Linked DNA regions of Kluyveromyces lactis. The protein of the gene in region 1 interacts with the protein of each later gene in a pairwise test. Links are inferred from orthologs where the notes say so. Each region holds a gene or a part of one and is shown in the gene's direction. Other genes may lie near its edges.

What was found.
Region 2: the proteins of KLLA0_A09757g (region 1) and UBP2 interact in a two-hybrid assay, tested with the Saccharomyces cerevisiae proteins (2 studies listed by BioGRID). The link is inferred for Kluyveromyces lactis from reciprocal best matches to the Saccharomyces cerevisiae genes HUA1 and UBP2.

What each region holds. Positions count from the first base shown.
Region 1 is NC_006037.1:854,487-857,186, reverse strand, and holds KLLA0_A09757g (uncharacterized protein), read left to right. Parts: upstream 1-1,187; coding exon 1,188-1,781; downstream 1,782-2,700. Other genes in the region: KLLA0_A09779g (uncharacterized protein), read left to right, coding at 179-634; FOL2 (GTP cyclohydrolase I), read left to right, coding at 2,287-2,700. UniProt on the Saccharomyces cerevisiae protein: May be involved in assembly and disassembly of the actin cytoskeleton.
Region 2 is NC_006041.1:219,212-223,949, reverse strand, and holds the start of UBP2 (ubiquitin-specific protease UBP2), read left to right. Parts: upstream 1-1,640; coding exon 1,641-4,738. Other genes in the region: FRQ1 (frequenin), read right to left, coding at 131-703. UniProt on the Saccharomyces cerevisiae protein: Has an ATP-independent isopeptidase activity, cleaving at the C-terminus of the ubiquitin moiety in natural or engineered linear fusion proteins, irrespective of their size or the presence of an N-terminal extension to ubiquitin.

The sequences.
Region 1 (2,700 bases):
CCTTTTTCCACCTTAGAGCCGTGGATTTGCATGTTATTGCGTGGATATGATGGTTCACTCATCTGCTAGACGAGTCATGGATATATAAGACACGCATAAGCCAGATGTCTAACTAGATGCATGGAAGAAAGGTTGGAAGGAGCCGTTGGCTGTTAGGCACGTGACCCAACATTCTATAATGGCAGCGTCAGTTAAACAATCAGGTATTCTTCCGTCGTATGACGAAGCAGTCGGACAAGGTTCGTCTACCGGTGCTTCTCGGCATCAAGAGGCATCAAATGATGAACCAAATGATGAACCAAATGACGAATCAAATGATGCGTCCAATGATATACCAAATAATGCCACCAATTCCACCACTACCAGTAGCTGCAATACCGGTACTGATATCGACCAGCTTCCCTGGACGTATCCTCCATGGTATTACTGTAGAAGGTGCGGGAACACCGGTGTAGAGACCAGGACGCAACGCAGGTGTAGAACATGTTGGTCAAGATTCAATAGAAGGCAGTTTCCAGCAAGACGTGGTCTTATACTCACAGTTGTGCTCTTAGGTGTAGCTGTAGTAAAGCATTTGGGTAAACATGTCAGCAATGCCAGCCATGCCAGCCATGCCGCCCATGCAACGGATTAGGAAGAGATTCTACATAACATGTACACCCAGGTAAATAATTTAATTTATATTAGCATTGCAACGCCCATAGTCAGATACTCCTAACCATATGAAGTTGCTTGTCTCTCTCAGGTGTCTGTTGATTGATGACAGATTCCTTTGTCAGTAGTATGAGATCGCCAGAGCAGAGATATGAGTTTGTTACCCGGATATTTGTATATATGGTCCGGGTAACATGAACTGATCAAGGCTTTGACTTTGATGCCCATTAGAACCATTAGTAGGAGCATTGGCAAGAGTGGACCCTTGTCTGTAAGTCCGCAGTTACTCACTGGCTGCATCCAGTAGTTATCAATGGCTAAAAGCCCAGTTTAGGATCGGGATTCGTCCACATTGCAGCCGTCGTGCTATAGGGTTTCCTCATTTTAGGTGCATCTGCCAAATAAATCACGTATATATAAAAGATCAAGATATATAAGGGACATATATTTAGTCAAAGAAAAGTGTATGGAGAACGGGATCGGGATCAGTAAAGAACAGAGATCAGAGAACCAGTCACTTTGAGAATACTTCAATGAAATCAGAATCAGATATACAGCCAGATGAGCATCTTCCGTCGTATGATGAAGTGCTGAGACAAGATACTGCTGCTGCTTCGCAGCAGCAGCAGCAGCTCCCACCAAACCCTCCACCACGTCCAACACAACCACCAGCAAGACCGCCCCGGCCAAGCAATGCCATACCAGCGTACCATCATTCCACTAGTACCTTTTCAAGCAGTACCAGTACCAGTACTGGCAATAAGAAACTACCCTGGACGTACCCTCCAGGATATTATTGTAAAAAATGCGGGAACACTGGCACCAAGATCAAGACTCAACAAAAATGTAAGAAATGTTGGTCGAAATTCTACAAACCCCCACCTGCACAACCACCACGTCCAAGTGCAGGGCCAAGACCTGCGTTCGTATACTCTAATGTCACGATGCCACCACAGAATTTCGTCATAAACTCAGCACCTATCGTTGTGCGTCCCGGTGACAGTCGCATAGGAGGCATGATGTGTAACAATTGCAATGGGACTGGTAGGGTACGATTCTTCTTGGATAAAGAACCGTGTCCCGTATGCTACGGTCTTGGCAGGATTCTTACTGGACCAACCTACTAGTTTGATCATCTGATTCGCCCAAACTCTACACTGTTTAAGTAAAATTGTACATAATTAATTTCTATTCATTTCATGTTTGTCCATTAACAACATTCAATAGCAGGGTACTGGCTGAGGTAGCACATGATAGAGTAACTAGTCATGTCTAATTGCTGCTTCTCATGGTACGGTGTTTCCACAGTTTTACTTTTTTTCCTTGTATGACAAAAAGTGAAAAATTTCGATGAGTTCGAGTTATAGGAAACAAGAGGTATAAAGCGTACCATATGCATTTGTTCCATTGTAAAGTTTTCGATTTTGGGTTGGCTCTTTCAAGCTTTAACTGATTGGATAATTCAGTGAAAGTTTGTCGTTTTGTGTGTTAGTTTGTGCGTACGTGTCTCCTTCTGTCGGCTTCTCTCAACAAGTCCCGTTGTCTGACCAGTATCACATATTTATAGGGTCTTTCTTTTGCATGGATTAGTAACCCATATCAGGTAACCCATACAGCTAGCTATATTCAATAATGGAAAACAAACATATCTCGCACGTCTCTCAGATTGAAAGACGTGCTACTCCTTTGAACATTCGTCCAGCTTCGCCTTATACCTTAAATCCTACTGTGGAAAAAGACGGTTTATCATGGCCTAGTATTGGTGCTCGTGAAAGAGCAGAGGAAACGGATGAAGAAGAACAAAAACGGGTTGGTCGTATTGCAGATGCGGTTAAGACTATTTTGAGTGAGCTCGGTGAGGATACCGAACGTGAGGGTTTACTGGATACCCCTACACGGTACGCTAAAGCGATGTTGTATTTCACTAAAGGCTATCAGGATAATATCATGAACGATGTGATTAAGAATGCTGTGTTCGAGGAAGATCATGACGAGATGGTTATTGTTCGTGACATTGAGATCTTCTCTTTGTGCGAGCATCATTTG
Region 2 (4,738 bases), on another chromosome or scaffold:
AGAAACAGTCAGTATGAATATGACTTTAAGACTAACAACTTCAAGCCAAAAAAAGTGCCCCCGCCTAATTGCCGTGCAACCGTTGAAAACTTACACTAAGTAAGTTGTATGGAAGCAGGTTACACAAGGGTCATACCAATCCATCATAAAGATTCAATGCCCCTACTATAGATGGATCGACCTTCGATCCGTCTCTAAATTCATCTAACGTAATACAACCATCTTTGTCTTTATCCATAAGCCTAAAGATCTTTTCTACCCTTAACTCTGGAGTAGCTTCATCGTCACTTAGTTTTACCATGTTCCCGATCATTTTATAAATACTTGACACTATGGTCAACATTTCTTCATATGAAATTACGCCATCGTGGTTTAAATCATAGAGTTGGAAAGCCCAGACTAACTTTTCCTCTAAGGAGCCCCTGGAAGTGGTGCTTAATGCTGTGATAAATTCTTTGAAGTCAATGGATCCATTATTATCCTTGTCAAACACGCTAAACACATACGTAGCAAACTCATCTGGCGAGCCAAAGGGGAAAAATTGTTTGTATATCTTGATGAACTCTTCTCTAGTTAGCTGGCCGTTCGGGCAATCCCGTAGAAACCCTTTGTGCCACTGTTGGATCTCTCTGCGATCGAAATACGTAGATTGCTTCAAACTGGTCAAATCATTCTTTGAAAGTGTAGACGTTTTATTTCCCATCTTATTATTGTTATTCCATGGATAGTATATATCTTAACACTTACTGTGATCAAACGCCACTATAAGCTACCTATGATCAGTTTCGGAAAAGATATTGACTAGACCCTGAAGCTCTTCCTCCCTAAATTTTTCAACTCCTCATGCAACATCTTTTATATTGGTTTTTTTTTAATTATGTTTTTCTCTCTTCTGCAGTTTACAGATTTCGTTGTAGGAAAGTGGCTTGTGAAGTCCGTCATAGATGATTCTCTAAAAGTAACGATAGAAACAGTGACAGAGATGACCGTTCCTCTTCTACTTTGCTTGTTGGTGTTCAAGTAACGACTACTAAAATTCTTCAGATGCTCACTATGAAGCGGTGCCACTGATCGAACTATTTTTCCTCTTTTTAACTCAACGACTGCGTTTTAAAGTTCTGGATTTTATGAACCTATTTCAACATTCAAAGGTTGAATAGGTTACATTGAGTTATAAATTATAGTTTACGTAGTACTCAGAAAAACAAGTTGTAAAGCTGTTTCAGTCTTTTCGGAATAATAGCAATGCTGTTACATCAAACAGGGCATAGGTAATTTGAATAGAGGCCCTTTTTGACTCATTTTAATGCCCTTTGTACCGCCATAAATGCGTTTAAATTTAAAACTGTGAGTATAAATCCGTACACCACACACTCATTGTGGTTCTGTCTACAGATTTCCACTATTGACAAATTTTAAAGGGTAACAAAAGAATTAAGTAGAATCAGAATAGTAATTGCATTAAATTTTAAGGAAAACTAGATCTTCAATCCTTTGGCAAATGCATAATTAAAAATATCTATTTGCCACTTCTAGGCTCGTTCTAATACTCCCAGTGATTCAATTCTGATACATTTGACACGCTACAGTATATTGTGACAATTTGAGGATAGCTTGGCAGAGAATAGAATCTCGAATTGATGATGGCTTCACAAGAACCAGCTTTAGAATTGAATGGCGAACAGAGAGATTCTGTTTCGGAAACAGCAGAAGTACTGAGATCTAAGTCGTTGGAATCATTTTCAGATTTAGTAGACGATGGTAAGACGCTTTTGTACGGAGATATTTCGAAAAGTTTTCCGTTCAAAACATGCGATCGAATTTTAGATGACATTAGGATTTCACCATGGTTCTTGAAGAAGTTTGGTTCATCTGTGATGAAACAACCAATGCTTCAGTACTCGAGGGAAAGACAGCAATTGCAACCGTGGAACCTAGTGCATTTAATTGACCAGGTTAATTTGAGAAGCAGATATGATTATGATTCAATGACTTGTCCAGGGAAGAATACCATCAGTGTTATGTTCGCATTGCTGGTAGATCCGAATTTTACTCCTAATGACTTTGATGACATTGACAAGTTTCCTGAATACTTCTTTCATTTGAAGATTACTGTGAAAAGGAGATCATACTTGGAAAATTTCAATAGACACGTTGGGATAACTCATTATCATGTTTTAGAGCCTGAATCTTTACATCCATTCGACAAAAGGGATATCTTTATAATGGAAGAGAAAGACTGTAGATTAGTAGACCAAAGTATATTTGTTTCTGCTGATACTAATAAACTTATACTTGTTGAGATAATAAAACCAGAATTTAATTCAGAGAACCTAGCTGAATATCGAACAGCAAAAATTGAGGAAAGATATAAAAATGCATGTCAAGAATTTGATTTATTGAACCCGGACGATATTCCTAGCCAAGCCGAGTGTTTGAAAACTCTTTTCATGATATTTAAGAACCCATTACAGAGGAAATCTGCTAATAGTGAGTTTAAGATTATTTCCAGGGATAGTGTTGCACTCAACTCACAAATTAATACTGACTGGTTAACGACAATGTTTGATTTCAGTTTGCAGAAGACCGCTGTAGAAGATAATGTCCAATCTGGAGAGGAATATAAGCCACCAGATTTAGTTGATTATATCACAGATTTTAAGGTCAGAGGGATTAGAGAGGCGTATACCAGAAAATCCATGGAGGTTGTTTTAATTGGTAAGCAGTCGATGCTACTTGAAAATGAACTTGGTACTGAAAAGAAGACAGTGGCAAAGTGCTTTTCTAATCAACATTTTAGTGCCAGTCACACATGGTGGTTCAATATTTTGAACCACCAACACATTGAACCATTCCCCTACGACATAAATTACCATTTTATTAACCTATCTGTTGCTTTTAAGTACATCGATAAGGATATCATTAAAAACTATGAAACTCAAATTGCACTTGATCAGGAAAACATCAGCCATTATTTTGATGCTCTCCAATATGTAACAAACGCAAAGGGTAGTTACCAGCTTATTGCTTACTGTGGAAAACAAGATGTTGTTGGGTATGAAGATTTGAATAATGCATTACAGGTATTTGGTTTAGATCCAACTGACATTGACGCAAGCCTCCTTGATGCCAATACGATGATTGAATATTACAATTCTCATCTATTAAGGAGCTCTGATAATCAAAGAAAAGATCTAAGAAATGCCCTACGTGTGCTAGGAAAATATTTAGGTAGTCAAAAGATGTTGTTTTTGGTGGAGTATGAACCATATTATAATGTACAACAAGCTTACACTCTTTTAAAGGTAGACGAGACAGTAGATGATGATATTATCCAAACTGCATATACGATCAATATTGCTGATGCCCCTGGTTTGAAAAAAGATTATGATCGGGCGATTTTTACAATAGCACTAGATAGGCGCTCAATATTTCTTTTGAATGTCTTGACAGATGAATGTCCAGAATTTGCGCAATATTACAACTGCACTGACATATCATACGATGAAGCATTGAACATCATTGAAATTGACATGAATGCAAGCGACGATGTCATCCTTGAAGTTTTTCAAAAGAAATGGAGTCACGGAATTATGACAGGTCCTGATTATCTATTGAAGTTGAAAATGGCCCTTCAGAATATTGGTTTTACTAGAAATAGTAAACTTATCAACCACTTTTTAGACACCGGTATTGTGGACGTAAGTTGTCTTCCTGTTGCTACATGGCCAGCTGGAATCAATAATGTGGGAAATACATGCTACCTAAACTCACTACTTCAATTCTTTTTCACTATCAAACCTCTACGTGATTTTATTTTGAATTATGATGATGACTCTGCTAAATTACTGGATGCGTCTGAATATCACTCTAGAAGAAGAATTGGAGGCAGGGAGGTCAGCAAACAAGAAGAGCTTAGATCGGTCCAGTTTGTCTACCATCTTCGTGATTTGTTCAATGACATGATCCACACAAACAGTAGATGCGTCACGCCCACAAAAGAGTTGGTCTACTTAGCCTTTGCTCCGAGTAATGTCGAGGTGGAGTTCGGTGACGATACTGTTGCCCAGAAAGAACTCATCGACTTAACAACTGACGTCGTCGAAGACCCCACTGATACTACTCGTCACCTAGCGTCTTGTGATGATGATATCATAATGTGCCAGAGCCCGGTTGCGCTCCCCGAACATAAAACATCGTCAGAAGCAGGAACACAGCAATATTCCGTCCAAGTTGCTAAAATCAGTGCGGACCAACTTGAAAATACATTGGAGATCGGAAGACAACAAGATGTTACAGAATGTATAGGTAACGTCTTGGCTCAGCTTGAGATTGCTTCAGAACCTTTGAGCTTGGAAGACGACTTGGAACAGAATGATCTTGTCAAACAGTTGTTTTACGGTAGAATTAAACAGGACTTGATACCAGTCAATGATGAGGCTTCTGTCCGGACAAAATATGAAAGGTTTTTATCCTTATTGGTTAACACCGGTGACCATCCAAAGGATATTTATGATGCTTTAGATTTTTACTTTCAGAATGACTATTTGAATTTGGAGGAGTATGGTGATGTAAAGAGAACTGTATCTATCTCAGAGTTACCTGCGGTTCTACAAATTCAAATCCAGAGAGTCTATTATGATAGAGAAAAATTCATGCCTTTCAAGTCTATCGAGCCGCTACCTTTCGGCGAAACGTTGTACATGGATAGATATATGGCTACCGAGGATCCAAAACT